Coturnix japonica: one gene and its partners. The protein of the gene in region 3 interacts with the protein of the main gene of each other region in a pairwise test. Links are inferred from orthologs where the notes say so. Each region holds a gene or a part of one and is shown on either strand. Other genes may lie near its edges. The genes, in order: ABI2, ZNF276, GCC1, ATF4 and CEP70.

Region 1 (6,188 bases), on a different chromosome or scaffold from region 3:
GAAAGTAGAGAGAAAAATCCTTCACCAACAGTACCAGCTACTCGGACTCTCAGAAGAAAACTCAGAGGATTGATCCCATGCTTTGATTACCCCACAAAACTCGCCAACCTACCAGCAAGTGCTCCATTCGCCTTTAGCAGAGGGAGGTGCTGTAGAAGTTTCTGCAACTCAGGAAGGTACAGTATGTGCCTAACCACTGCCTCATTATTTCATTTAAGAGAATTCAAATCTGAGACACCAACAGCGCTCCTCTGTTATATTTTTAATACTTTCAGCATAGTTACATTTTGTTAAGGTGATATGCATCTCAAGAGAGCAAAAATAATTCTGGAATTTAAATAAGTATATAAGAAATTGACAGTTCGCAGAAGCAGAAGTTTCCTGTTGTAGGACTCAAGCTGTCATAATTACAGAAATTGCAATTTCTATGCCAATGGATGTTCCACTCTCTTCTTCACCTCATTGGAAGATGCTGTCAGAAGTACAATGACTTGGTTTGGCTTAACAGGACAAAGTAAAATTAACAGGCATGCGGAAAGCAACTAAGAAACTGATCAACCCATGGGCTATAATAAAATTACTGAGAAACAGGTAATTCTCACCATTATGTTTATTTAAAAAAAGCTATTGCAGGGTCTGAAAGCAGGTACTTCTAGTACCTAGAAGGATGGAATACTTTCAGAAAAGGAAAAAATATATATATTCTTCCCTGCCTTTCCCTTAGAAATATGGGAAGCTTATTTCTATGTATGAGACTCAATACCCATAGCAACCTGAAGGCTGCAAAGTGATGGAAATGGGAAGTTCGCTCTTCCTCTCCACACAACAAAGCATAATAGTCTAGAAAGACTAAGAAATCCAGATCCTGCTTGAAGAATCTGGCAAACACAGCACACTCACCTTCTGGAGGCTGGACAGGGCACAGGGCCGTGGCTTTTCACCCAGCTCTGCATGCTGCATTGCTCTCTGGCCTTGCCCCCACCCTGAGTCTGGTCCTGCTAGATATCCAGTGGCTGAAAATGTCTATCTAGGAATTCTTTCTGACTCTTTCAAAACAGTGAGTTCAGACACAAGCATTCAATTACTCTTGAAAGTTCTATATGCAATGCATTAAGTAAAAAAATGATTTCGTTTTTAAAAGTTCCAATTGTTTGGAAGCAAGTTAGAGATGAGCCCCAGACAGACTTGTTCAGAACAAGCTTAAAGAAAGTGAAAAGGCCAATGCAGCGCTGGAACTTACAGTGGTGTACCAGTAATAAAACAAGCAAGTCACACCAGTGCTCAAAAGGGTGTTCGTCATTTATATCATCATAACCAGAAACTTTCTTTATCACATTCCTGATCAAAAATAATGCTGGAATATGAAAATCTAGTAAATACAGCGCACTGTCCAATTAAGTAACTCTTGCTTTTCATGGAGATCAATGCAGACCTAAATATGTTTTTATACAGTAACAAGTAAATGAAGCAATCAGATTTTATAGAACTACTTTGTTGCAGTTTAGACTGAGAACTTGGTATCAGAATGCAGCACTAGTACACAAAGGCCTGCAGAAACAGTATACAATTTAACTTCTGATTAACATTGTATCAAATCCCACAAAAATCTCCTCCTAAATAACAGCCTGTATTAGCCCCCTCTTCGGGAAGTACAACAGAGAAGTAACTATGTTTTCTACGGTACTGAGAAGAGCTACCTGGAAAGCAAAGTTATTTGATATTGGCAGTAACAGAAGCTGATCAAACTGTCTTACTTGTGCACTTACACTTAAAACTTTCCAAAAATACATACTAATATTCTTATATAAAGTGAAATAATCACAGAGAAGGAGCTGAACTGTCGTACTATGCAGGTGAAAATCGTTCTTTACATGTTTCTTCTTGCAATATCCAAGCAGTAGCTTTTCATCTTTCATTGCTGCAGTTCTATTTTACTACATATTTCCAATATTTCCCAGTGACTTGTCACAAAATTTTAAGCTGATGTGCTCTGATATGCTGCTATAATACAGACTTCAGAGAACCTTAACAATTCATTTAACATTCTCTGTTGCTGAAGTAACTGAGCTCTGCAAGTATCAAGAACAATTTGTATAATGAACCACCAACATTCAAGGAATGCTTTTCACTTCATAAGTAGAATCCAAATGAGTTGCAAACACCACAGCTCTCTGACTCTGACCTGTCAGTCCCAACATGTAAGAGATTACTGTTCCATTATTCTCCAGCTGCTATGTAACTGTCAATGGAGGCAGAGATAGAACACATTCATCTTATAGCACTGAACTTCAAATTCTTTAAAAAACTGACCAACGCCTCTGCTTTTTGCAACAATTTATGTACCTGACAATAAAATAACCTCTCAGCACCAATTGAGCTTGTCTACTGACAAATACATGCCAGTGTCATTCCTGCAAGCACTGATTGCTGTGCTGCCTATCATTCAGTAGATCAAACTCAGATCTCAGTCATACACTGAGTCCCTGTCAGGAGACCTCAAGAATATCCATGATAAACCCTTCTGTCAGCAACGGAACATTAAAAGATTACAGTAGAACTAGTCGATCTTCTGGAAGATTTTCTGACTTTCTGGAAGATGATTCTCACACGCATTCCCAACGTGCACATCTCCACCAAATCCAAGCTTGCATAAAATATGTAATTTAGACTGAATTGGGTATATTGATTTTTGGAATTACTATTATTGGAAACAAAATCCCCAGTGATGTTAGTTGTATCCATTTCCCTTCCTTGCAGAAGGAAGACAAACAAAATAGCTTTGGGTATTTATCCCAATGAAGAGTTTATGCAGTTCTGGCACGGAGAACGTAGGGTGAGTTCTCCATCAGATTTGTTACAAGGACACTCACGTCACTCAATCCAGCATCTCCTCAAGTTGGACTCCTCTGCAACGTCACCTTGCAGTCTCTCTGCCAACCCCAATAGCCTAAGCCTACCATCATCACCTAGCTATGGTCCTCCGCTCCCCACTTGTTTCACATCTTTATTTTTCCAGTCAGTGATCCCATACTGCACCTCACAGTCAGCACCACAACACAATTTCTGCCTTCTGTTCTCACCTCCCTCTTACATCCCTGTGTTGCCGCGATGCTTGGACAAATTGCCAACAACTGCGGTGTGCTGCACAGCGGCCAGAACCCGGTGGGCTGACCAACCCAGCCTCACTCCCTGCTTTCCCTCACCAGCTGGCTGCCCTCGGCTCAGGCTGCCTTTATATGCCAGCTATGGGAAGACCCCCCTCTTTCCATTCTCTGCATGAAATATCACAGAATCTTGCTCTGCAATTTTTACTGAAACAATAAAAGTGGAGCTGTTCAATACAGATTTTATAATCCTTGGTTTACAAGAAGAGAACAGTAAAAGGTCGTGGGGAGAGCAAAACAACAAGCTAAATGCACCTCTTCCTATCCGGTTCTGCCATTCACAGCTCCTCTTCCAGAAAAAGCCCCATTTCCTTCTTTTTAAAACAGCACAAACATTAATGTCAGTTTATGACTACAACAAAATACTTCAGCGCGTTTCTCTTAAAGAACATAAGTCACGCTAATTCAGCGTATGAAACCTTATTAATCGCATCGCTGTTCGGTAAATGACCCCAGATCCGCAGACATTTCCCACTAGAGGTCGGCTGGTCGCTCAGCATCCCACACAGCGCACCCCCAATGCTTCCCCCTCGTGTCGCCCACCCGGGCACGGCCCGCTCCCCCTGCCATCACACAAGCGCTCTCGGGGACGGAAGGCACAAGCTCCGGGAGCCCTCTCACTGCACTCAGCACCGACACCACGGCGGAACGACCCGCGGCCGTTACTGATGCTGCCGTCCTGTTTTTGTTCCGCCTCACCGAGGAGCACGATGCGGCCCGGGCCCGGCGCAACGCGGAGCGGGGGAGGAAGCGCCGCTGCCGCCGCTCAGCACCGCGCCACGCGGACGGCGACCGCCAGGGCCGACCGCTATGCTCGGCCGTCGGGCCCCGCCCCGCCGCACCTGGATGTAGTTGGTCTCGCAGTACTCGGCCACCCGCTCCAGGTTCGTGTAGCTGTCGAACAGGGCCCGGCGCCCCCCGGGGATCTCCTCCTCCAGCAGCATCTGCAGCTCCGCCATCTTCACATCCTCTCACCCCACGACCGTCCGCTCGTCTGCCCGTCCTCCCTCCTGCACCTCCCTCCCGTCCTCCCTCCGCTCCGCTCCCTCTCTCCGCTCCCCGCCGCCAGGCCCGGCCTCGCGCCGCGGGCAGGAGCGCGCCGGACCCCCACCGCACCGGGGGCGGGGCGCGGCCGGCGGCTCCTCCTGCGCATGTCCCAGCAGCCCTAATCATGGCCCCGTGCGCCCACTGCCGGCACGGAGGAGCTGGGACGGGGCTGCGGGACATGAATGGAGCCGGAGCTGGAGCAGGAGCCGGAGCGACCCCCTGACCCTGCAGTGGCCCCTTCCAGTGACTTGGAGCATATGAGAAAAGGCCTCGTCTTTACTATGTGTGTGCGCAGCTGACCAGCTGGACTAACCTGCCTGCATCATTAGCTGCTTGTTATCACAGCATGTTTATGTTTTAATAGGGGACTCTTTCATGGATTTAAATTTAAAGATGAAGAGCCCTCCTGGCAGAGTGATGGTTATCCTATAATTCTCTGTACGCGTGCTGAAAATGATTAGAAGCAGTGTTTAAATTAGACCAAGTGAATCCAACTACCACTTTCCTACATTTACATAATCGACTCCCCATCTGCCAAGCGATGTGCTAAACTAATTTTAAGTCCTTATGCTCTCTGAGCCCCAGTTACAGCATTCCACACATTAACTTCTCCTTCTTTCTTTTGTGCAGTACCTTCCCTTGGTACAACAGCTTCAAGACTGGGAAGCAAATGTATTTCCCACCTAAATATACTGAGAAAACAATATCCCTAGGAACAAGCAAGGTAAGCATGTCGCTTACTCCAAGTTCCCTCACACGCATCAGATTTTTACCTCTGCCCATTACCCAAGGGAGTCCCTGCGCACAAAAACGCCCAGACAAGCAAATCATTTGGTCACGTGCAATCTCGTAGCTGGGCACTCTGTGTGTCCTACATACCACAGTCTGAATTACCAATTCTTAATTAGAGAAAAGTAATAACGGGGTAGCTTGGAGGCCACTGTTTTTGGCACCATGGGTAGGCATTGCAATCAAAAGCCTCTTCTGTTTTCTTTGCTATATGGAAGACAGAACGGCACAATCCCTGATCCCATTTGGACAGATGACCTGGTTGGATCTCTGACACACCATGCTGCAGGTTTTCACTTAATTTGTGTAAGGATCTCTGTTCTGGCTTTATGACATTCTCATTTCTGAACATTTTTTCCCTCACAAAAAAAACAAAAAACAAAAAACAACCCAAATTCCATGTTTTGTATACAGCAGAAACAAAACCCCCACTGTATCACATTGAGCCAAGCAGATCTGCGTCTGCACAATGGGCAAAGCACTTTGACAGCAAACATGGGCATGTGAACTGACCATAATACAAACAGGCCCATGCCCTAAAGCTGGCAGGTAGCATTTACTGCAGGAATGGGGAAAGAGGAAAAAATGGGGGAATGAAAAAAAATTATCTGTAGCTGAAATATATACTTTTGCTCCCTCAACAAAGACAGAGTTGTGCCATCCTGGTCTGTTTAGATAGCGTTGATCTGCCTCTGGCTGGATGCAGACCTTTGCTAGCCTCATAATGCAAAGCACCCAAAGGGAACAGCAGCACATTTAACACTCGAGGCTCTGCCACAATCTCAGGATGGCCTGCTACAGAATGAGGCTCATACACATCCAGTGCCCACAACAAACGCTGTCAGGATCCTGTGGCATCTTGGGCACTCAGCCGCCAGCCCCTGCTGTGAAACAGTGAAGAACCCACACACTCTGCAGCTGCACATTCTCCTCCTGCTTCCGCAGGCATTCACCAATTTGCTGGGCAATCAAGATCGTAACCACAGATAATCTTTCTGCTCATGATAAACTGCTGCTGGGTAAAATACCGACTGTACACAGGACACAAGTTACCTGTGGGGTAGTTCACATCTCATGGAAGTGCTTGCACTAACACCACTAGTTCAGAAACAGGCAGAGGCAGTGCATGACTGACATCCATCACCTCACAGCACCTCCGGAGAGGCACAGGACACACTGCAGACATTC
Region 2 (6,150 bases), on a different chromosome or scaffold from region 3:
CGACACGACAGCTGACAGATTTAGCTGACACACCACAGTAAGTTTGCACTTGGCCCCTCCGTACCTCCACTCAACCGGCAGCTGTTTACACACCTCACTAGATCTGGAGGGCTCAGCCAAATCTTAGCTCAGAACAATCTCTAAGCAGCCTGCATCCCACTCGGGCTTCCTGTACTCTCCTCCCTGTGCACAAAAAGGGTGATTTCAGAGCAGCAGCTCCTGCCTGCGAGCCCACACTGAATGCTCACAGCTGCAGAGGGGAACCAGCAGCAGCTCTACCAGCACACAGCCCGGAGCAGCAGCTCTGCCAGTGTGCAGAACCACACAGCCCCACACCGCCCTGCCACGGCTGCTGCTATCCCAGAGCATGGGGCAGTGCACAACACAGCCAGCTGTGCTGGAAGCAACCAACAGACAGCGCACGCTGTGTGTGCAGCACGTGGGAGGGAGCCGAGTGCTACGACCGTGGCTGCAGAGAAACCACCCTGCCCCTCAGTGCCACCTCCCAGGGCCTTCTGAGGACCATGGAGAAGCTCTCCGCGGTCATTTCATACTCGCAAAGAAGACATTAAGGCTATTTTAAACCCACTCTTCTCTCACCCCTCAGAAAGGTCACTGAACTCGTCTTTTACCCGCTCATCCGACGTTGTAGACAGAACCTGCTTCCCACTCAACTGTCCTAGGGAACGAAGGAGAACAAGGAACGTTACTAGGAAAAGCAACGAAAAGGTCACTACTGCTCTGCAACCAACAGACGCCTTCCCCAGTCAGTTCCGACTACCTGTTCTCTTTCCAGCAGCAGACATATCGTCATGTGACTGCCGGAGCTAAACAGATCCCAGCTTCTGAAACTCAAAATCAGTGTTAAGCCCCATATTTTAAAAGACAGAAGAACGCAGCAGCAAACCTGTATTAAGGCAGCCCAAGAGCAAGGCTGCCTGTGCAGACAGAAACGGCTCCTGGGCCTCATGCTGCTCACATTGCCCTGCAGTCACAGCGGGGTGGGAAACCCCCCCCAGACTGACACATAGCCAGGGTTTGGATTGATCCCAAATAACCACCTGGCAAACAGACAGAATGGGACCGCTCTGTACAGCCTGAATGGTGCGTGTCCCAGGTGCGAGCAGGGCCAGATAGACACAGCCAGCTGAACAGCCACATCTCACCCCATCATCAGAAGGGAAAACAATGTGCAGAGGCAAGGAGACCAGCTTGGCTGCACGACAGCTGGGCCAGCCAAAGCTTCACATCCCCCTTCCCTCTGCAAGACTAGAGCTGATCCTCTGGGCAACCAGCACTTCTGAGCCACAGGTCAAATGCCCTATTAGTCCCCAAGGAGGGGCAGCCAGGCCCAGCAGCGCTCCCTGGGCAGATCTCTGTCTTACCCAGAGGCCTGGGGTGCGATCAGAAGGGAAATCCCTTACCTGTGGCACCGCTCAGTGGTGACACGGGCTGGGGCAAGGCTTTCTCCTGTAACGAGGCTGTGCTGTCCTGCTGAGAATGAGATGAATCCCTGTTCTGCGATGGCTCATTCTCCAACTTCAGTGGCACTGCTGCGGTCCCTTTGTTTGCGGGCTGCTGACAAGGAGTTGTCCTTACTGGAGCATGCTGGGGTTTGGGAGCAGGAACAGCCTCAGCATTGTCCGCCCCGTTGTCCGTCAAGCGCTGCGCCATGCTCTTGTTCCACTCCCGTTTGACAGCCAAGGCATTATCAACGAGCACTGTGCTACAGTCAGAATCCGTGTCCATGACGTAGTCGTGCCCGTCCCCGCAGCCCCAGACCGCACGGATGATCCCGCAGTACTCAGAGGACAGCACGCTCTGCAGGCTCGGCACCGACTGGCAGCCCCCGGCGTGTGCGTGTGCCCACGTCACCAGGCTGTGCAGGCACTGCGGGCTGGAGGTGATCAGGTCGACTGTTGGAAGGGGAGAAGCAGCAGGCACAGGGTCAGAGCCTGCAGACCCGTCCCTTCTGCACACCCACACTGAGGCACACGGCAGCAGGTGAGGGAGGCAGCCTACAGGCTGCTCTTTGCATCCCCCATATGCCAGAACCGCCCTCAGCACCCCTGACAACCAACCCTTCCCTGCTGCTCCGTGAGCAGCTACTCACCCAGACAGGAGGCACCTCCTTCCACACCAGGCTGGGCCGGGGCCGCACCGCTCCTGCAAAAGCCAGAACAGCACAGGTAGCATTAGAGGGACCATACTGAACACGCGGCCATTCATTCCTCCCAGCGACCACCAGGAGCACAGAGATGCAACCTACTTTCCTTTCGACTTGACGTGGCCGGTGGGGGACGCGTTCACCCTCTGAATGAAGGTCCTGAGGACGCTGCGGCACTTGTAGAACTGAGCGTGGCATTTCTTGCAGACAAACTGCGGCAGCGCTGGGTCCTGACGCACCGCGACCCCCACGAGCCGCTGGAAATCCGTGAAGAAAACCTGATCCACGCGGCGCTGCTTCTCCGAGTTCTCCCCCATCACAGGGACCTTCCCGAAGGCGTTGCGCAGGCTCCTGGATGAGAACTTGCCGTGGCAGAGGCGGCAGTACCCGGTGCTCAGCGCTCTGCCGACCCCTGCGAGAGAAGGACGGGATGCGGCTGCAGGAGCACGCAGCAGCTGCAGCCCGAGGGCGATGGGACACTGCGAGGCGACATCCCCGTCCTGTCATCCGAGCCCACGCTGCCGTCACAGCCCCGGCTTCAGCACCAGCACTGACCGGGAGCGAGACCTGCGTGACTCCGAGCAGCGCTGGGACCCCACAAACCATCCCCGTATGGCATCCCCGCCCTGTGCTGCTGCTCCAGACCTGGCTCCGTTGTTCTCAAGGCTCTCACACATCCAGCTCCCACCAACGCTGCTCCAGCTCAAATGCTCCTATTCCCCCTCCACTGTTTATGGTACGAACATGCAGCAGCCGCAGCGCAGCCCCGTGCTGCCATCACCGTGACGCTCCCACAGCCGCACACGGCACCAATGATGAGCTGCACACCGGGGATGGAGCAGCCGCTGCCCCATAGCACAGACCGACCGGCAGCTCGGCTCTGCGGGCTGTGTCCGTGCACTGCCCGGTGCTGGCTGTACCGGGACTCCCGGCTGCTCACAGCGCCGTGACGGCCCGCAGCGCCTCCAACAGCGCCCCGTTACAGCCGTCACTGACCGCACTCACACACACACACACACACACAGGCCGCGTCCCGCAGCTCGTTACCCCGTGTCGGTGCCGCTCATGTCGCCGTTCCCCCCGGTTCCCCCCGGTTCCCCCCGGTCTCTCGCTGCCCCGCAGCCCGTCCCGTCCCGTCCCGTCTCTCACCTCCGTCCGCCGCCCCGCCGGGCCGTGCCCATCCGGACTCCTCCGCCGCCACCGGTTCCCACCCCGCGGTCGGTCCGGTCCCGGTCTCCCGCTCCTCCTCATCCCCTTTGTCCCTTGGCCGCCCCCGTCCATCGGGTGATGCCGCCCCGGTGCCGCCCGTTGCCGCCAGGAACCGCCCGCGCCGATCGCGCTTCATCGCGGCCGCCCGGTCCCGCCGCGCCCCGCCCGAACGGCGCCCTCTTGTGGGCCGGAAGACCCGCCGCTGCACTTCCGGTTCGTGCCTTCCGTTTTGAAGTCCCTCCGGAAACACTCTCCGGCCGCACTTCCGGTTTCATCCCTTCGCTTTTTAAGTTCCCCCCGGGAACTCCGTGTCGCTGCTCTCTCCGTTCCGGCCGTGATGGCGGCGGCGGGCGGTGCTGGGGATGGAGCCGGGCCGGGCCGGGCCCTGCAGGGCGCCATGAGGGCGGCGAGCGGGGCCTTGGAGATGGACAGCGCGGGGAGGACGCGGGTGAGCAGCACGGCACGGGGCGGGGGGCCGTTATCCTACCGCATAACCCAGGTCTCGTGTCCATCCCCGCATCATCCCCATTGATGTCACCGCAGGACGCCTATATTCAATACCTGCACAGCATCGCCCTCATCTCGCAGGCCCTGCAGGACGAGGCGGGGCTCACAGGTAACAACCCCCCCCCCCGGTCCCTCCCCCCGCCCCTCGCAGGGCAGTGACCCCCCATATCGCAGAGCACAGCGAAGGGCTCGGCCCCGACACCCCCAAGATGCTGAAGCTGGCGGAGCAGTGTCTGGAGAGGGTCAAGTCCTTGGCGGCCACGCTGGGTGAGTAACGGCAGCACCAGCGGGACCGGAGCCTTCAATGGGCTGATGGAGCCGTGTCATCCCGCACAGGGAAAAACAAGGGCAAACCGAGCACAGCGGGGGGACCCGCGCCCATCTCCAGGCACCGCAGGGTTTTCTCTGACGAGGGAGGGAAGCTGTCACCGTTCCTGCCACCAGAGATCTTCCAGAAGCTGCAGATCGCTGAGGCACAGAGTGTGCGCAAGTGAGTGGGGCTGGGGGACAGCGAGTGCAAATGGACCACAGCACAAATCCTATGGGGAGGGGGGAAAGGAGGGGCAGGGGGACCACAGTGCTCCACTCAATGGAGAAAAGCAGGGCAGGGTTGGGCTCTTCTCCCAAGCAGCAGGTAGGTGCGGAGCTTAGGGACACGGCTTATAGATAGAGGTGGTTATGGATGTTGTGGGGTGAGTTTGTGGATCGCAGAGCTCTTCTTCAGCCTGGAAGGGTCCCAGCTGGCCAGGATGCCTGGCTCACATTGAAGGCCACCACAGTGTTCAGCTCATTCCCTGCAGGGAGCTGACGCCACTGGAGGAGGCATCGCTGCAGAACCAGAAGCTGAAGGCTGCCTACGAGGCGCGGGTGGCACGGCTCAACCCCAGCCAGGCCCTGCAGAAAACCTCACTGGTGAGTGGGGAGCTGGGTACAATGAGTCTCGCACTGGGACTCTGAGCAGGTGTCACCCACGTAGTGTTCATTGCTTGGCAGACGCTGTCTCTACAGCGGCAGATGATGGAGAACCTGGTGATAGCCAGGGCACGAGAGGAGACCGTATCCTTTCCACTAAGGGAGTGCCTAAAGCAGGGGACTTGTGTTTGTGGCTGTTACTTCATCAGCCACCTCAGGGCTGTGCCGGGTGAGATGCTGGCTCACTGCTGCGGCACTTCCAGTGCCTTAACTCTGCCATGGCCCAGCTGCAGAGGAAAATGGAGGAGCGGCGGCTGCGGCTGCAGGAGGCGGCCAACAGGTGAGGGCGGGGCTGGGGGGTCCCAGTGGGGACCGTGAGGGTGCGGAGCTCCCTGCAGACCCCTCACCTGGCACTGTGGCACTCGCAGGAGGTTCTCCAGCAGTGTGGCCCTAACCCCTGAGGAGCAGGAACAGAGAGAGCTCTATGCTGCCATCCTCGAGTATGAACAGGACCACGTGAGTATGCGCTGGAGGCTGCTGCTGTGGATGCTGTGAATGCAGAGGGCTGTGCTGGGAATCAGGGAGAGGGGCTATTCCCACTAACCTGCTGTGAGCACTCCCCCAGGACTGGCCGCGGCAGTGGAAAGCCAGGCTGAAGAGGAGCCCGTCAGACCTGTCCCTGGTGACGGGGCTCTTCTCCTGCCTCCTCAGGTACTGTGGGGCTGACAGGGGGCTGTTCACATCGCTGGAGGGCCACAGCACTTGCCGTTGTCCCCTGCTCACCCCTGTCCCTCTGCTTCCAGCTTCCCAGAGCACCCCATTGCCCAGCTCCTGCGCAAGCTGCAGTGTGCGGTGTACACTCGGCTGTACCCAGCTGTCAGCCAGAACAATCCCGAGGCCGCCCCTGCAGCCCCCATCGGCCTCGCCTTCCTCTCTCTGGACGCAGGGGGGCTGCTGCCTGCAGAGCCGGGGGGGCGGCGGCTCCGAGCTTCCCGCAGCCTGCACTGCATGTTCTCGGTGCCGGAGCACGGCCCAGCCACGCTGCGGCACAGCATCTCCGGAGCAACCCTGGCCGATGGCAGCTCCGATGCCTCCAGGGCAGAAGGGGAGCCCCGGTCTCCCCGGGAGAGCTCCTTTGAGGACCTGGAACGGTTCCTGGCATCGCCTGAGGACTGGCCCCCAGGAGAAACCACGGCTGGGCCCAAACCTGCAGCATCGCTGCAGGAGCAGCTGAAGGGCATCGTGCGGGACATCCACAACGCCATCGGTGAGGGGCGGCCGTGGCCCTCGTGGTCTCAGTGTACCCGTCCAGGTGAGCTGCGTAACTCTTCCATTCCCAGACAGGCTGCTGTCCC
Region 3 (6,499 bases):
AAGGTGGGCTCCGCGTTGCTGGAGAGGTGGAGAGCCTGGGGCAGGATCTCTGTGGAGCCATTAGCCGAGGGGTCATGGCTCGCAGTGTCAGTCCCTGCTGTCATGTAGTTCTTGGAGCCCTGCAGCCCGGTGTAAGGCAACATGACGGATCTCAGCTGCTCCAGTTCTTGGTCCTTCTCAGCCAGCACCGCCAGCGCCCGGTCCCGCTGTTTGTGCATCTCCTCCTCCAGCTTTAGTGCCCGTTCCCTGTATTCCAGCTGACAGCGCTCCAGCTCCTGCCTGTGCAGCTGCTGCAGCTGGCAGAACTCTTGCCTCTTGGCTTCCATGTCCAGCTGGTGCTGCTTCTCCACCTCCTCGGAGGACAGCTGAAGCACCACGTATTTCTCCTTCAGGTCCGCCAGTTGCTCCTGAGCTTCCTCCAGTTCTTTGGCCAGGTTGCCATCTTTGGCTGACTTGTTCTTGAGAACCACTTGTGCCCTCATCTTGTACCTTTCAAACTCTTCCTTCAGCTGCTTCAGCTCCTGCTGATAGTACAGAGCCGTGGCCTTCTCACCATCCCCGGCCTCGGTACCTTTTGGCAGCTCCAGCTCACACAGCTTCTCGATGTCCAGCGTGGGCTGACTCTTCTTTGCTGCCACCTGCAGCAGCTTCTTCAGCTTCTCCATCTTATCCTTGAGAACGTTCACATCCAGATTGGCTTCTTCCACGTTCACATCAGCAGGGGATCGGCTGGAGGCTGCGATGGCCAAGGTTTTGTTCTCCTGGTCCAGCTGCACGATGCGATCCTTCAGTTTCTGGATGACCATTTGGTCCTTCTGTTTGGCCTTCTCGTAGGTGCCCAGCAGCCCTGACACCTCAGAGACCTGCCCCTCCAGGTCGGCCACGCGCTGCTCCTCCATCTGGGCGTGCTGCCGGAGCTGCTCCTCTGCTTGTGCAGTCTGTAAGCAAAGAAATGCAGCGGTGTTAGACCACCCTGCAATTACACAGGCCTTCATTCTGCTCTGAACAACTCCAAGCAAGCACAGGGACACCCTTTCCCTAGTTTCCAAACAATCCTCCCCCACCCCACACTCTCACACGCCCATCTTTAAAACAGAGACTCAAGGATGAAACAAACCGAGTGCGTTTCTGTATTTGTTCCCTGCTGTTAGCAGCATTAATGTGCATTGCTGGAGGCATGTGCAGGGCATGAAGCACAAAGCTCACCTCACTGTGGGATTTTTTCATGTCTGAGTGTGCCCTAAAGCTTTCCTACACCTAACTGTACCTAAATGCTAAGCTTTGTTACACCAATATTAACGTAATTCAGTGGGCTCTGAGTAGCTACAGCAAACACTGGAGCTCACAGCTTCTATCACCATCGAGATCTGACCTCCTAAAGAGCACGTGGAAGGTGGCACCACTCCTCAGTCCCCACTGTGAGCCAAAACACAGCTGGGATCAGCCCATCCTCAGCCCTGTCGTACAGAAGCTGCTGGGTATCACTTCCAAAACAAGGTTAATCGCATCCCATCAGCCCGAAGCTGATAATTAGAGGCTTCAGATTAGAAAGCTGAAAACTTATTCCAGACTGTGGGGAAATGAGGATCCCATGCTGGTGTCCTTCCAGCTGCCAACTCAGCAGCAAAGCCCTCCATCCCTCTGCCCCACAGCCTGCAGAGACACACAGCAAGATGCACAGCCCAGCACCTCGCTCAGCAGGCCGCCCTTATCGCCCACCTGCCTCACCGCTCACCTATTACAGTTCCATGCAGGGGGATGTGGAGGTCAGTTCCCTTTAAGAGAGTCCGAACCGAACCTTGCATTGCATTTATGATGAGAGCACGCTCATTGCCACTGCTCTCCTCCCAAATCCAGCTGCTGCTCGGAACCAAGCGATGCTCACCACGTAACTCCCACAAAGACTGCTCCTAAACCACCCGTGGTTAACTGATTTATACACTGCATTGCCAACAGCTTTAATTTTCCTCAGGGTATATGATCCCATCAGATGAAACTATGGTATTTTCTCCTATCTGAAATCTTTCGGACTTTGTGGCATGTGGCACAGGGAGAATTTGGGCTCCTCAAGCCTCCATCTGCTGCTCTGGTACCCCCTACATTGGGCTGCTCTAGGGCTCAAGCAGGGAATTACCTTCCTCATCTCCTGCAGCAGCTGCGCTTGGAAGTGGCTCTTCAGGTTGGCCATCTCCTCCTGCAGGTCTTGCACCCGGGGGTCCGGCTTCTTCCTCTCCTCCTGAACAGCCTGCAGTTCTCTCTTCAGCTCCTCCACCTCCTGGCTCAGCTGCTTGATCTGCAGCTCGTAGCCCTCAGCACGATCAGCCATGCACACCCGGCCGGCCAATGCCTCCCTGGTCTCCTCCAGCTTCAGCTCAGCGTCCTGCCTCAACGCCCTCTCGCTCTGCAGCAGCTTCTGCAGCTCCCTCAGCATAACAGCGTGGTCGCTCTGCTCCTGGGCTCGGTCGTGCTGCTGCGTGATCAGTCGAGCTTTGGTCTCTGCCAGCTGCTCCTGTACAACCCTCAGCTCCGTCTCCAACCTGTCAGTCTCATCCTCCGCCTTTTTAATGGCGTCATCCAGGTCCTGCTTCATCTTCTTCTTGTCGGCTTGATATGACGCTTCCATGCGGGACTTCTCCTGCGTCACCGTGGACAGGGCGCTGGTCAATGTGGCCAATTGGCTCTTCAGCTGCAGCACCCGCTTATCGGCCTCAATGGCAGCACAGGGCACGTCCCCATTGCTGTTACTGGTACCAGTACCGACCTCGGAACCATTCCCCTCATCTGATTTAACAGCTGCTGCGTGTTTCTCATCCTCAGGTCCCTGCTCGCCCTTCGTGCTGCCCAAACTGGTTGTTGTGTCCACGCTGGCGGCCGTTCCCATGCTGTCCTCGCTGTGAACTGAGCTCTTATCATCCATGGGATCAACATGGGGAGAGCTGGAAGGAGGGGAAGAGCCGGAGGGGAGGGAAGAGCTGGAGGGGAAAGAAGAGTTGGAGGGAAGGGAAGAGCTGGAGGCAAAGGAAGAGCTGGAGGGGGCCACAAATGGAGCCTGAGCCCCATTTAACCCAATGTCGGCCTCGTGGGACGCCGATAACACCTTCAGGCTGGCCTCCAAGGCCTCCTTCTCGTTGATGAGGCTCTTGTAGGCGATGACCACGTCCTTCAGCCTGGCCTGGTAATTCAGGAGCTGCTTCTTCTGCGACTCGATGGTTTCCAGCAGTTCTTTTTTACTCGGGCCTCCTCCGAAGTTCATACCGAATTTCTCCATGGTTCCGGGATGGGGGTGGGCCTGGGGGCGGGTAGGTCGCAGGGCTCAGGCCTTACCTCCGGACCGGGCCGGGCCACAGCAGGCCGCGGCCTCCAGGCCCAACCAACGAGTCGGTACCGGCAGCCAGAGCGCCGCCGCACACCTACTTCCGGCCTGCTTAACTTCCGCCCTCCCACCTACTTCCGCCTCGTTTAACTTCCGCCCCTACTACTTCCGCCCTCCCACCTACTTCCGCCTTGTTTAACTTCCGCCCTCCCACCCACTTCCGCCCTGCACGTTAAGCCCCGCCCACTGGAGGTGACGCACCCCACGCTGCGCATGCGCAAAGTGAAGGGTTTGGGGCGAGGAGCGGCCACCAATCAGGTGTCAGAACGGAGCAGAGGGGGCGGGGCTAATAGGATTGGGGGCGTGGCCTTGTAGTCTGGGGGCGGGGCTTAATGAGGGGGCGGGGCATCGTTGTATGAATGAGGATGAGGATGGGGTGAGGGGGGGGATGGGATGGGGATGGGATGGAGGGGAGGATGGGATGAGGATGGGGGTGAGGATGAAGATGGGATGAGGATGGGATGAGGATGGGGATAGGGATGAAGATGAGAATGGGGTAGGGATGAGGATGAGGATGGGATGGGGATGAGGATGAAGATGGAATGATAAGAATGAAGAGGAAGAGGAAGATGGGATGAAGATGGGGTAAGGATGGGGATGGGATGAAGATGAGGATGAAGGGGAGGATGGGATGAGGATGGGATGGGTGAGGATGAAAATGAAGATGGGATGGGATGGAGATGAAGATAAAGATTAAGGGGAGGATGGGATGAGGATGAAGATGGGATGAGGATGGGATAGGGATGATGATGAGGATGGGATGGGATGGAGATGAAGGTGGGATGGGGATGAAGATGAGGATGGGATGATAATAAGGATGAAGATGAAGATGGGATGGGGGTGGAGATAAAGATGAAGAGGAAGATGGGATGAGGATGGGGATGGAGATGGGGTAAGGATGGAGATGGGAGGAAGGTAAGGATGAAGGGCATGAAAAGGGGAGGATGGGATGAGGATGTGATGGGTGAGGATGATGAAGATGGGATAGGGATGGGATGAGGATGGGAATGAAGGTGGGATAGGGATGAGGATGAGGATGGGATGGGATGGGGATGAAGATAAGGATTAAGGGGAGGATGGGATGAGGATGTGGGTGAGGATGAAGATGAAGATGGGATGGGGATGAGGATGGGATGATAATAAGAATGAGATGAGATGGGAATGGGGATGAGGAATGAGATGGAATGGAATAAGAATGAAGATGAAGAGGAAGATGGGATGAGGATGGGGATGGGAATGAAGATAAGGATGATGGGGAGGATGGGATGAGGATGTGGGTGAGGATGAAGATGGGATGGGGATGAAGATGAGATGGGAATGAGAATGAAGGTGGGATGATAATAAGAATGAAGATGAAGATGGGATGGGAATGGGATGAAGATGAGGATGAGGTGGAGATGGGGATGGGGATGGAGATGTAGGTGGGATGGGGGTGTGAATGAATATAGGATGGGGATGAGGATGGGATGGAGATCAGCGTGAGGATGAGTGTGCAATGGAAATGGGGTTGGGATGGGGGTGGGGATGAGGATGGGATGTAGATGAAGATAAGGATGAAGGGGAGGATGGGATGAGGATGTGGGTGAGGATGAAAGATGGGATGGGGAGGGATGAGGATGGATGGGATGGAGATGAAGGTGGGATGGGGATGAAGATGAGGATGGGATGCATAATAGGATGAAAAATGAAGATGGAATGGGGTGGAGATAAAGAGAAAGAGGAAGATGGATGAGGAGTGGGATGGAGATGGGGTAAGGATGGAGATGGGAGGAAGGTAAGGATGAAGGGGAGGATGGGATGAGGATGTGATGGGTGAGGATTGGGATAGGGATGGGATGAGGATGGGATGGGGATGAAGGTGGGATAGGGATGAGAATGAAGATGGAATGATAATAAGAATGAAAATGAAGATGAGGATGGAATGGGGGTGAAGATAAAGAGGAAGATGGGATAAGGATGGGGATGAGATGGAGGTGGGGTTGGAGGTGGGAATGAGAGTGAGAATTGAATGACGAGAATGAAGATGAAGATGGGATGGGGTTGAGTAGATGAGGATGAGGAGGTAGATGGGATGAGGATGTGGTTGAAAACGGGTTGGGGATGAGAATGAAGGTGGGATGAAGATGAGAATGAGGGATGAAAATGAGGTGAGAACGGTGTTGAAGACGACGATGAAGATGGGATGAAGATGTGGGTAAAGATGAGGATGGGATGAAGATGAAGATGAGCTCGAAGATGAATGGGGACAGGAATGGGGACAGTTCATGGAGCGGTGCTGGTGAGGTCCTAAAGGGACACCCCCCACCCCTTAAAGGGACGCCCCCATCCCAAGGGAGACACCCCTATACCCTAAAGGGACACCCCCATCCTATAGGGACACCCCCCACCCCAAAGGGACACCCCCCTCATCCTAAAAAGTGGGGCTGGACGCTGCTGGCAAAACCACCATCCTGTACAAGCTGAAGCTGGGGGAGATCGTCACCACCATCCCCACCATTGGTCAGTAGGGCCCCTCTCCATGGGCACCCACAGCCATTGGTCACCAGCATTGGGATGGCAGCGATGCATTGGGTAGAGCATTACTGTGCTGGGATGTGGCTGGGTGCTGGTGCCCCTAAGGGGGATGGAGATGTGGGGGGACATAATGGGGGTTGGATGTGGGGCTCCTGGGCTGCTCCCTATTTACAGGCCCACTCTATTAGGGTTGGATGTGGGGCTCTTGGGCTGCCCCCTATTTACAGGCCCACTCTGTTAGGGTTGGATGTGGGATGGCAGGGCTCTGAGCAGCTGATCTGGCTGTAGATGGTGCTTTTCATTGACCTTAAAGGTCTCTTCCAACCCAACCCATTCTGTGATCCTACAAACGTCCCCTTCCAACCCAACCCATGATCCTGTGAAGGTCCTTTCCAACCCAAATGATTCTGTGATCCTATGAAGGTTCTCTCAATCCCAACCCATTCCATGGTCCTATTAGGGTCTTCTCCAACTCAAACCAATTTCCATGATCCTATGGAGGTCCCCCTCAATCCCAAACCCATTCCATGATCCTAATGAAGGTCCCTTCCGCCCCAAATGATCTCATGATCCTATTAATGTCCCCTCAATCCCAACCCATTCCATGATCCT
Region 4 (6,248 bases), about 46 Mb from region 3:
CAGTCACAAAACTCACTCCTCAAAGGAGAAAACTGTGATGTAATACCTGCAAAAGCAGAGACGTATTTTGTAATGGATTGAGACATGTCTCATTAAATTGTGTAACAATAATTCTGCAGTCTCTTTCAGGAAACAGGGAGAAATAACACTGTTACTAAATGTCTGGCTTTTTGTTACCTCATTTCACTTCCTGAATTGAAGATGATGAAAAAAAACCAAAACAAAACCCAAAACTGTTTGGTGCTCAAAATGTAGACAAATGTGCACATTTGCAAAATAAAAAGGGAAGCAGGCAGCTAGGAAACAGGCAGATCTGGGTTAAGTTCCTCATGACATGCATCATTTTTGCTTGCATAATTCTTACTCACACATACCCAGAGTCCTTTCTTCAAAAATATGTAATTACCATTTCAAGAGAAGCATTTCTGTTTATTTTGCTACAGTTACAGTGGTACAAACACCTTTTTTCTTTGCAGTTGGATGTGGGGGATGTGAGAGCCCTCCCTCGACCAGCCAAGACACAGAGATGCTGCCTCTCATCCACCCAAGCCAATCACCCACCAGGCTTCTTCAGTAGCTGCTGCATCCATCCTCTGAATTTTGCTTTGAAGCAAGATCTGCCTGCTCATTGGTGCACGTATCAGAGGAGTCATCTGAGATCACTCAGTTGCTATCGTGTTTTCTGATATTGGAGGGCATTTTTCTCTGCTGCCTCTTCCATCTTAGTGAGCCATTAAAAATCGATGCTTGATTCTAGAAAAGCAAAAATAAAACAAACACATTCACACACCCACAGAGAAACAAAAAAGCCACAAAACACCACAGCACATTGGAAAAGCTGTATTTTTACTTTCAGCAGCCAATGTTCAGTTTACAGAGCTGGAATGACATACATACCCCAATTTGTTGCAGTGATGGTGACATCCTGCTGCTAAAAGTAGAAACCTGGCCATGACTGTCCTCCCTGGCCATGCCCATCCTCTGGGATTATCAGTGGAGCTGTTTAATGAGTTCCAGGCAGGTATACTTGTGCAAACTGAGCCAAGGCCATGGCTGTACACAAATACTAACAAGCCCTAAATGGAAAACAAGGGAGCCTTTTGCAGTGGAGCCAAGAGGAGTTTATTGACAGGGTGATAATGTTTTGAGCAAGCAAGGATCCATGGAGGGGGGTTGGAGCTTGATGATCCTTCCAACCTAAGTCATTCTATAATTAATCTTCAGAGCTGATGGTGTGTTGTAGGGCTGGTAATGTGGGAAAGCAACCAAAGGCCAGGTAGTGAAAGAAAACATGGGTAGCAACCTTCCCAGCTCACCTTCCTCACTCAGAGCTGCATATGGTGCTTTAGTGTCCTCAGAGAATCACGAGGGGACTGAAAACATCTGTTCCCCATGGGTTTCATACAGGGCTAGGTGAGGACCAGAGGAGCTGCTATAAACATACAGGGCCAGACGTGATGGAGCAGGGCTGCCTTCTCATTTGGCTGATTTAGTTCAGATAAAACATAATGCAAACCTGCTTGAAAACCTTCCCAAGGTGAGGCTGTTTACTAGGGCCGTGAGGCTGTGTAGATGACCCACTAATGCTCTCCTCCATTGAGTAATGGCTGCTCTTGCATCTCCTCACAAACCACCCCAGGCCAATGTTACAGCTCAGCTACAAAGCTAGCAGGGTGTCAGGGACACAAACACACAGCCCTATCTCTGTGGGGCAAGTAGCAGGCAGGGAGTTTTCCACTTATCTGAGGGAGCAGTGACTCTCCTCAGCAAAGTTCTGCCCTCAACTCTGCTGGACGTCGTCTGGAGGGGCTGTTAAGAACGCACAGGGAGAGCGGACAGGACTTCGTGTGGAGGGCATAAAGAGCTGTCAGTAACAAAGGAGGCGTGGTGCTTCAAAGAGAACACGCCACGGAAATGTGAAGCAGAGAATAGAACCAGCGCCACCGCCATTTTACGGCTCCTCGTTCTCCGTGCCTCTCACCATCTCTCCCTTTTCGGGCGTCAGCCAATGGCGGCTCAGCGCTCACACGGTTACCACGCCACCAGCCAATCGGCGCGCAGAGCTCACTGGCTGTGTTGGCGGGCAGGAGCAGCAGCCCCCCCACATCCCCCTGCGCTCCGCGGCGGGCGGGAGGAGTGTCCTCAGCTGCTGTATCACGTGGCCTCCCATCTCGGCTGGGCGGTGTTTGCGCGGAGGAACACCATATAGTCCCTCTGTCTAGGAGCCCACGATGGAGGGAAAAGTTATTGCTGACAGCTTTTTTGGTTAATCTTTAGCAGGATGGAACGAGAGCGGCCCAGAAAGTTGAAGGTCTACAGGCTGAAGGGTGCTGACGAGAGGCGGGTGACGAAGAGCGGAAGGACACATCAGGCCGGATCTCGTTTTGATTAGCGTGAAGGTATATAAAAGCGGAGCGCGCGCGCTGCCACCTCATTGTGTGCCCTTGGCTGAGCTGACAGGTTGTAACTGTGACCGTGCGTAGCACCTCTCCGCGCGGCGCTGACCGGAGCACCAACCAACCCCCCCCCCAGCCGCCATGGCTCTCTAAGGGCGGCAGGGCCAGCGGCGGCATCGGCCAGTGCAGCGGGCGCAGCAGCAGCGGCGGCGGCCTCGGCACATCCCCGGCATCTGCAACCATGGCGTGAGTAGCGCGTGTGGGGAGTGCGCCTTGTGTGACAGCCACCCCCTGCTTCATAAAGCGGGGTTCTGGGGTGCGAAACGGACGCCCCATAGGAAAAGCTGTCTGGTTAATAGGGTGGGGGCTGGAAACCTACTTGAGGGTGACGGAAATGGCAGGAAATGACACTTTTAAGAGGAAAAATGAGCCATAATACCCTGTATTTTAGAGAAGCCCACATCCTGAAAGCTCAGGGCTGTTCTATTTTGTAAGGCTTTTGTGAGAATATTAGCTCCCTAGACGGTTGTCTTAGTAGTATAGGGGATTGTCTTTATAGAGGCGTTCCCACAGCGGATGGAGGAGTTAAACGGGGCTTCCAACGAGCGGGCATTAAGATAATCCCTTAATGCTACGGCGCTGCTGGCCGGGGGAGGAGGAGGGTTGTGGGGGGAGGGGGGGGGAATGGTGTCGAACCCAGCCTGATAGAAGGGTGTAAGGCTGTCGTGGTATTTATCATCCGAATCCACCTGGTCCATAAGTCAGCCTAGCACCAAAAGGTGCTCTGTCGTTCTATCGTCCTGTCACCTTCCCCTCCCCCCCACCCCTCCACGTTGATGGCGTTCCCATCGACACGGGGTGAAAACGTGTCACGGCACAAAATGGCGGCGGGGCCGGGTGGGGAGCGGTAGGCGGCAGATCGCGAAATGGCTGCGGCGTGGGCGTGACGTGAGTCAGGGCGCGGTGGGCGGGGCCTCGGCGGGGCGTGGGGCTGGCAATGCCGTGCTGGGCAATGGAGATGCGAATAGAAAAGCTTTTATGAAAGCAAACAAATAAAAAGCAAGAGTTTGAGGCAAACAGCCCTGAAAATGCTGCAGTCGTACAAGTCTGGTGCAACAGCACTCTCCCTGAGGCTGCGTTTTGTTGTGAAGGCTGTTTTTCCAGTAGAACAAGCACTGATGCATGCGAAAAATGTTTGTCTTACAGGTTTTTCAAGGCACCGCACAGCAGCACTGCTGTAGTCAACAAAAAGGCCCTCTCCTTGTCTACATCCTTTGACGTCAAAGCGCTAAAACCTGACCAAGATGAGCCTCTTGAACAACGAGATGCTGTTGGGGGAGTCCTCCCCCCTCAGCCAGCCGTGTTTGGTGGCTGAGGAAGGTCTGGGACTCCTCGATGACTACCTGGAGGTGGCCGAGCCCCTCGGTTCGCATGGGTTCTCCAGCGACAAGGCTAAGGCAGTCTCCTCCAATTGGCTCACTGTGGACAGTTTAGGCAACACCATAGATAGCAGCCAGGGTAAGGCACTAATTCATGTGCAGGAAGTAACACCAAAGGTGATGGCACATAATAAATAATGTAATCCTCCTGTTCAAAGATAAATTGCACGAGTTCTCTAAATGGAAAGGTAACATCACGTATGTGTCTTCTGGCCTGGGAAGCATCCATACAACACTGATTATACACAATAGCAAATGGCTCTGTAGTCGACCAGCCTGTGGAAAAATGACACTTGCATTGCCCTTTTAATAACATGCCAACTATTAAGAGTAGCCTTCCCTGGAAGAGGTCACAAGAAACAAGTGTGGTGGTGTGTTTCAAATAGGCCTGAATTCTTAGAGAGCTAAGACTAAGAGGGATGGAATGTCAGCAGCTGACAGATACATAGTATCATGCAGACTTCCCCAGTTCATAGTAGGGGGAAGGGGTCTGGTAGTCGATCTTTTTACCATTAAAAAGAATGGGGGAAGATATAACTATTTCTGGTATAACTGGTATAGAATCTCTGTGTTGGCTCATCGAAAAATATACTGTTTTTCTCCTTGTTTAGAGGATGCCTTCTCTGGCATGGAGTGGATGGTGGAGAAGATGGATCTGAAGGAATTTGATTTTGATGCCCTGTTAGGTATGGAACATCTGGAAGCCACCGTCTCACCAGACGACCTGATGGCCACGTTGGAAGACACGTGTGATCTCCTGTTTAACCCTACCACCCAGGAATTTCACAACAAAGAACCTCCACTCATACCTGATCTAATCACCAATCTCCCCGAATCTCCAATTGGAGTAGATCCCATGGCCCCATTAGGCTCCCTGTGGCCTTTTCCCCTCTCCCCAGGGTCTCTGACTTCTGTTCCAGACCATTCATTTAGTTTAGAACTAGGTAGTGAAGTGGATGTTCTGGAAGGTGAAAGGAAACAGGAGGCCCCCACCTTTCTGGTAGTGATCACGAAGTCAGAGAAAGAGGAGGAGAACCATTCTGATGATAGTGGAATATGCATGAGCCCAGACTCTTATTTGGGAACGCCCCAGCACAGTCCTACCAATTCACTTGGATCCCCTAATGACAACCAGTTCCCTGCAGATGCCACCCGTGGCTCTCTGCGTTCTAAACCATATGACCACCCTGCTGAGAAGGTAGTGTCAGCAAAGGTGAAAGGAGAAAAGAAAATAGATAAGAAATTGAAAAAGATGGAGCAAAATAAGACTGCTGCCACACGTTACCGGCAAAAGAAGAGGGCAGAACAGGAGGCTCTGTCAGGGGAGTGCAGAGATTTGGAACAGAAAAATCAGGCCCTGAAAGAGAAAGCAGATTCCCTGAGTAAGGAAATCCAGTACTTGAAAGATCTGATTGAAGAGGTGAGGAAGGCCAAAGTCAAAAGAGCTAGAGTCCCTGAGTAGGGTAGTCAGTAGTGTTTGTGTGCATGTATATATGCTTGCTGCTTAAGCTGTGTGGTGTCTAATAAATTATTTTATAGTAAACTTGCAATTTTGTGTGGTAACTGAGTATCTGTAAAATAAGGGTTTATACCATGTCGTTTGGGGCTTCAACCAGCTGGAATGTGCTGCTCCACCCAAGTGTGCAAATAGCATTTACTGTTAATGTGGTTCAAGTGATACAGTACATGTTACAGCTCATGTGTAGCTGAGAATACTTGCAGATATCTAGTAAAATGGAGGGGATCAAGTGGAGATAGTCCCAGATCTTGAATAGCAAAAGCAAAATCATAAAGGTTCAGCCTTACAAGGAGCCATGTAAGTATGTTTATAAATATGGTTTGGAGAAGTCTCTTGTGGGAGTTACTGGGTTTTGACAAGCTGATGGCTTCAAGCAGTTCCCCAGGGTGTTAATTCCTTCTCTCTTGCACTGACTTGTCCAATCATACTGCACAAGCATCCACATGGAGCTGGTGTGTCTGCAGCCTTTCAGGGGCAGCCAACAAGCTGATCTTATGCTGGTGCCCCTTGCAATGATGCTGTTTCCATACTTAGTAACTTAGTTAAGACTTTGCACTGGCTGGAGATTAGGGCTGGCTCTTCCTCTGCATGTTCACTTAGCATTTATAAGAGCATTGGATTAAGAGATGGGAGAAAGCATCTGAGCATTAGAGAGCCTCCTGGCTGATCTCACATTGGCAGGCTGCAGGAGCCTCTTCCTTTTCTCACAGGCTCAGAACAAATGTGGTCCAACAATCCCTATGGTTTACGTGCATGGTGACACCATTCCCAGAAATAGATTTTGGTGCACAAAATAGAGCCCCCAGAGGAAGCCAGTTTTCCTGTATATTTGGAAACAGTGGAATTTTCCCAGTCTGCGCCCTATAAAAACTCAGTATTAATAGCTACCTTCCT
Region 5 (5,583 bases), on a different chromosome or scaffold from region 3:
CCAGATTCTATTGAACTTTCATGTATCATAGAGGGAACTGTTTCCTGATATTTTGTTAGTAGCAAGAACTTGCTCTGTTTGCTTGTTTTAACCTGCTTTGGCTACTATGATGAAAGGTAAAAATACCAGGTTCTTTTCCTTTCCTCACTCAGTTTCAGATGAACTAATTGTGAGAAGGTGTCCACTGAACTCCATTGCTTTGTAATTACAAGGGGATGAGAAGCTTCTTCATTTCCTGTTGGTGGTGGCAGGCAGGAAGTCTGCTTCCCTCTTTGAATGAGACTTCAGAAGGCTTCAGTAGTTTAGGAGCCTTGCCCTCTGGCTGTACACCCTGCAGCACAGCCAAGCCTCTAAACCCATGAACTCAGGGAAGATTAGCAGCTGCTGTTCTTCAGAAGTGCAAAACCAGAAGAGAATGAATAGGCACCTGGAAGTGACTACTGGTGGCACTTAGTTCTTGACATTCAATACTTAAAAGAACAAGTAAACATTTAGGATTGTAAAGGGGTGTTCTTAAGGACTGAACATGCTTACCCTGGAATGAGTTACTGAGAAGAAATCTAGAGCAAAGTTTGTTATTCCAAAACAATTTAAAACAAACAAAAAACCTTATGTTTCAATTGATAAAGGAGAATTAGTAAGTAAGTGCTCATAAAACAAAGCTTTTCCTTTGGAAATAGCCTGAACAAGTGGTAGGTGATGAGTCTTTACCTAGTTCCAGGAGCTCATGGAGATTTCTCATAGCATTGGTCAGTTCCCCAAGTTTTGTGTACACCTCATTCATTCGTGGGTAAATGCCATTCAGAGAATTCACATCAAACAGCTTCTGGAAGTGAGAGACTATTGCATACAGTGTTGGTAAGGATGGTGTCTGGCTGTTCTGCAGGAAGCAGAAAGGGTAACTTTACTAAGTTGTTGCTTCTTTTAACCACGAGATGTTCTTAAAACTAGTCCACAAATTAAAACAGGTGTAACTTCCCTTATTAAATTGAGGCATTTTGAATATTCTTAAATCTCAAGAGAGATATCCAGCAAGCCAAAAATACTCTTATGAAAACAATATTCTTTTGGAAGCTTTGTTTTCTGATGTTTATTAAGTCTGTTTAGGTATTCTGAATGCTGACTGAGAAAAAGATGGAACAGGATAATACCCAGCACTACAGGGTAAGGCAAATTCATGGTTGGTCAAATGACCTTGATTAAAGCAGTCTTCCCCGGGGTGAATTTATCCATTATGTGAAAGTAATCTTGGAGAATTGGACCTCTTCCCACAGCTATTTCTTAAGCCCCAAAAGGCTTTGAAATGCAGAAGTCTAATCGTGTGAAGAATTACCTTTTCCTTGTTTTCTATTTCTTCTAAAACTGCATCTACTATGAACTGAAGGTCTTGAACCCGTATGGATTCTGTGTTATCTTGTGGATCCGCAGTGTGCCAGGGTACCAATTCCAGAGACAGTTTTCTCAGTGACCTGTGCAAATCCTTTTAAAACAGAGGGGGGACAGCTCATTGTAGTAACTGCTTAAATATCTTGTCCATTTAACACCAGGTCAGACAACAATACAAACTAAAGCACAAGAACACTGGATAAAGAAGCACCGTGAGGTTTTCAACAGATTAAAAGAGGGATACAAAGCTAAGTGTGAGAGTGCGTTACCTTTAGGGCCACCAGCTGGTCTGCCCACATTTCTATAGTGAGTGGGAGGTGCTCAAATCCACATTCCTGTCCATTCTCTTTAATATAATTTTGCACTGGCCCTTTGCTGCGCCTGTATATTAATGGAGGAGCTCTTGGACTTCGTATAATAGAGTCGATATTGGACAGCACCTTCAATAATAGATAGAAAAAGTTATTACTCAAACTAAGCTTTTTATTATAAATTCCCTCACCACCAGTCACAATCATTTAAATCATAACTATTTCTGGTAAGTTACCATCTATGACTTTTATAGAGGCACTCAGCATGTCATAGATTCAAAGATATAAAAAGAAACTAAGTAGAAGAAAAGTAAAAGTAATGCACGTAGACTTCCCATGGAGGGAATATTTTGTTTATCTTCTCACAATGTTGTTACTTACACAGTTTATATTTTGTTAAGCTTTACTATATTTGTTCTTTCTTAAGGAAAAATGAAAAGCTATCATCTTCTCAGTAATTCTTAAAACCATAACAGAAAGGAATGCCTTCCACAGGACATTGATCTTTGTTCTCTATCCTGATGAGAACTCAGGCTAAATCATTGATTGGAGGTTTGCCAAGCTAGTCTCTGGTTTGTAGTAACTTCATGTAGTTTACATTAAGGTAGCCTATATCAACTGCCATAGCCAGAACATTACACGTTGTGTTCAGGGCTTTCCTCCAGAGTTCAAAAGAGCATGCTTCAGTTTATGCAATTAAATAAGGCTCGTATTTTGTTATGAAAGTGCTAGATAGGCATGGTACCAATGAAGTTGGCATACCTGTAAGTACTGCTGGCAGACTGCATGCAGCCGATCTTCTGCAGTACTCTCAGGTTCTTTCTTTTCTTCTGTTCCTTCTCTGGTACTGCTCCCTGAAGACCTACATGCCAAATACATACAGTAGGTCACCAGTAGGCCAAATATGTACGGTAGGATGGCTTTCAGCCTGAAACTACTGAATCATACCCACTGCATGAGTGAAAAGATCATTGAAATAGAATGTAAAATGGAGAACTGAACATTTTTAAAGCAGTGTCTTTTTCAGATAATGTAAAATGATAAAAATATATAGTATTCAGTACACGTGTACACAGATAATTAAGTGAAATTCCAGGCTGACGCTTTGTCATTACTAGACTTCTGTTTAAGTATCGGTCCTGCCTATACTGCCTGTGGTAACACTCCAATCCCAAAAGGCAAAATGGAACTACAAAGAGACAGTGGTGTGCACCAATTTGGACACTGTGCCACCACTTCAGAGATTCACAGGGTATCTTTGGAGATGCAGAAGCATTTGCTGCCCATGACCCAGGCTCCAAGGGACTGTGGTGATATAAGGTACGTGCTTTGTAAGCTGCTATCTATGTGATTGGTTGCAGAGCATCTTTGCCTTTATGTAGTTCAGAGGATTCGTGAAAGTTACTGAAGAAAAATAGTTACTGGATAGTTTTCTTTAAAGTTTTCTCTAGTTTCTTCACTCGGTGCTTGTAAAGTTTTAATTCCTGTTCAGTTGGTCTGTTGGAAAGAAAACATACCACATTATCTATCTTGCATTGAAAGTCGGCTATAAAATTCAGCCAGGTGAAAAAGTAAGAAAGCTTTACTAGTGCCATAACTTCATACTGGAAATGAAATTCTACAACAAATTACATGTGGCAATAACTGTAAAATAGATATAGTATAGCACCCAAACCAATTTTGCTGGCTCAGGCTTTCTTACTAAAACCACCTGCTTCTCTATCTGTCCAGCAGGTTTTAAGTGGAAGTCAGGCTTGGCAGTAATGCTACCAAAGTGGAAAGAACCATTTTGCCCACATTCACTGTTCCTGCCCTAGCTCAATGAAGTGTAAATATCAATGCAGTTGTCCAAGACAATACAGCGTACACTAAGAGCTGTTGTTATTAGCAGTGTAGGAAGGAAAGGTTGATTGTTGTTGCCCTATTAAAATGCTAATTATTTTATGAATGGATTTTAAAGGCAGATTTGACACTAGGCTTCTACAGTTGCTGCACTTTCAGTTTCCTTCTCTGTGAAGCAAAGCCTAGAGATGTGCTTTTAAAAACGTTTCTCACCTTGTTTCCAAATCTTTCTTGAGATTTGTATTTTCAAGCAAAAGTTGTTCATTCTTGGCCTTTGTTTCAACAAGCTGATTCTGAAAAGACTGCAACAAACACTGTATTATTAATTTCATTCATTCTGTAATCAACAAGCTTGAACACTTTCAAGCATGTCAGGTGCTAAGAAAGATTCCCATTTGCTTTATATTATAAGACAGCATAAGTGAGGAAACAGACCTCTTTAAGATCAAGATCCTGCTGTATAGCCCACAGGTGGAGAAGCAGAGAACTTTACAGCAAAGTACTCAATCTTTGCATAATAAGATGAAGACAGTGAATGCTGCCCAGAGAGTTTACGAACTTTGAAGACAGAAACAAGCAGACAAGAAACCAAACACATGCATTTTTGTGTGGCTCTTCACGGGTTACCATTCAGTGATCCGCATGGGCTTATTCTTAGCAGTTCCATACCGTGAGCAGCGCTCTGTAATTTGGAGTAGCATCCAGATTTAAGAAGTTTTCTTTGCTTTTTACTTCTTTCTGTATATGATCTTCAGCTTTTTTATATTGCCTGTTAGGGAAAATAAATTGTTTCAGCTTATTGCAATTCAATTGGCACAAAGATCTAAGTTTGCAGGTACACATGTCAAAATTTCCATACACTAAACTACGATCACAATAGAAATACTGTCACTGGTCTTCTCTATTGTTCTGCAAAGCTGTTTCATATACTAATTGAGTACATTTATTCCTCAAGAGAAATTACAGTGCAAGCAAATCCAATTTCAGCTTTCTAGATAATAATCTCAAATTATGGGAATGTCTCTCAGGTATCTGCTTGTTTCTCTGTATCATGTAAGCAATATGATGGAGCTGAGAAGCTGGTATTTCTTTTTTATTTTTCCTTCTTTCTTTTTAGGAAACGGGTGAATTGTGCATAGCTAATGCAGTAGTGCTGCCTGTAAACCTCTACAAAAGGGAAAGCCGAAAAACAAACAAAGGATTATAGCTCATGTGTCTAAATACAATGCCCTCCTGGCTGTATGGCCTGACTGCGCAGCTGCTCAGACTGAGAGAAATTTCCAGGATTAATCCAAACTTCCAAGACTATTACAGTGTTTGGCTGTTTCTTATGTTTTAGTGACATCTAGAAAATAGAACATTTGCCATTCCAAGCTTTAAGAACAACAAGGAGAAAGAAAACTTTTAGCAGTAGGACCACAAGGCATTAGATGAGACTCACCGTAGCTCCTTTTTCATTTGATTAATTTGAGATTCATAATAATCGATTAGACAAAGAAACCTGAAAAAGGAAAAATGGTATTTTGAACTTAAGATATAGTTACCAATCTATTGGAACAGGATAGCTTACACAGCTACACTGTATTTTAAAAGTGACTGTTTCTCCCTTATATCAGTCGCAGTTTTCCAAAAAAAGAAATATAGAGACATTAAATGCCTATTAGATTACAAGTGGCAAAATGACTCAAGAGGAGACAAAAGCTAAATCCTCCTGACAGCCCTTACATCTCATGGCTATGTTCACCCAGCAAGCTTAACAAGCTGTCACAGTCTTAAGCTGTAGGGCTGCACGGACCATTGGAGGTGATATAACAGAACAGGTCACACACAGCCTAAGAACTTCCAGAGAAACTACAAGTGCTTTCTAAGGAAATGGCTGCAAGGAAATAAAGCCATAGAAAAACGTATAGGTGAGAAACAGCATTTCCTTTTGAACCACTCTGAGATTTTCTGTTTTGTATGTACAGGTGAGAAATGTCAGGGAACGAATCTCAGAGCTTCTTTTTTTGTTGTTTAATGAGGGCATAAGAAACAGAGAGAGGCA

What was found.
Region 1: the proteins of GCC1 (region 3) and ABI2 interact in binary tests that used the Homo sapiens proteins (3 or more experiments, as listed by UniProt). The link is inferred for Coturnix japonica from reciprocal best matches to the Homo sapiens genes GCC1 and ABI2.
Region 2: the proteins of GCC1 (region 3) and ZNF276 interact in binary tests that used the Homo sapiens proteins (3 or more experiments, as listed by UniProt). The two-hybrid records come from large-scale screens. The link is inferred for Coturnix japonica from reciprocal best matches to the Homo sapiens genes GCC1 and ZNF276.
Region 4: the proteins of GCC1 (region 3) and ATF4 interact in binary tests that used the Homo sapiens proteins (3 or more experiments, as listed by UniProt). The two-hybrid records come from large-scale screens. The link is inferred for Coturnix japonica from reciprocal best matches to the Homo sapiens genes GCC1 and ATF4.
Region 5: the proteins of GCC1 (region 3) and CEP70 interact in binary tests that used the Homo sapiens proteins (3 or more experiments, as listed by UniProt). The two-hybrid records come from large-scale screens. The link is inferred for Coturnix japonica from reciprocal best matches to the Homo sapiens genes GCC1 and CEP70.

The regions. Positions count from the first base shown.
Region 1 is NC_029522.1:11,988,655-11,994,842, forward strand, and holds the start of ABI2 (abl interactor 2), read right to left. Parts: upstream 4,156-6,188; 5' UTR 4,124-4,155; coding exon 4,007-4,123; intron 1-4,006. UniProt on the Homo sapiens protein: Regulator of actin cytoskeleton dynamics underlying cell motility and adhesion. Functions as a component of the WAVE complex, which activates actin nucleating machinery Arp2/3 to drive lamellipodia formation.
Region 2 is NC_029526.1:16,728,146-16,734,295, reverse strand, and holds the start of ZNF276 (zinc finger protein 276), read right to left. Parts: upstream 3,627-6,150; 5' UTR 3,513-3,626; coding exon 3,317-3,512; intron 2,580-3,316; coding exon 2,270-2,579; intron 2,167-2,269; coding exon 2,114-2,166; intron 1,917-2,113; coding exon 1,425-1,916; intron 680-1,424; coding exon 601-679; intron 1-600. UniProt on the Homo sapiens protein: May be involved in transcriptional regulation.
Region 3 is NC_029516.1:515,197-521,695, reverse strand, and holds the start of GCC1 (GRIP and coiled-coil domain-containing protein 1), read right to left. Parts: upstream 3,462-6,499; 5' UTR 3,269-3,461; coding exon 2,135-3,268; intron 939-2,134; coding exon 1-938. UniProt on the Homo sapiens protein: Probably involved in maintaining Golgi structure.
Region 4 is NC_029516.1:46,170,310-46,176,557, reverse strand, and holds ATF4 (cyclic AMP-dependent transcription factor ATF-4), read left to right. Parts: upstream 1-2,438; 5' UTR 2,439-2,642; intron 2,643-3,602; 5' UTR 3,603-3,700; coding exon 3,701-3,914; intron 3,915-4,446; coding exon 4,447-5,297; 3' UTR 5,298-5,385; downstream 5,386-6,248. UniProt on the Homo sapiens protein: Transcription factor that binds the cAMP response element (CRE) (consensus: 5'-GTGACGT[AC][AG]-3') and displays two biological functions, as regulator of metabolic and redox processes under normal cellular conditions, and as master transcription factor during integrated stress response (ISR).
Region 5 is NC_029522.1:18,781,679-18,787,261, forward strand, and holds part of CEP70 (centrosomal protein of 70 kDa), read right to left. Parts: intron 5,041-5,583; coding exon 4,981-5,040; intron 4,309-4,980; coding exon 4,209-4,308; intron 3,842-4,208; coding exon 3,753-3,841; intron 3,195-3,752; coding exon 3,120-3,194; intron 2,560-3,119; coding exon 2,460-2,559; intron 1,827-2,459; coding exon 1,656-1,826; intron 1,481-1,655; coding exon 1,334-1,480; intron 881-1,333; coding exon 712-880; intron 1-711.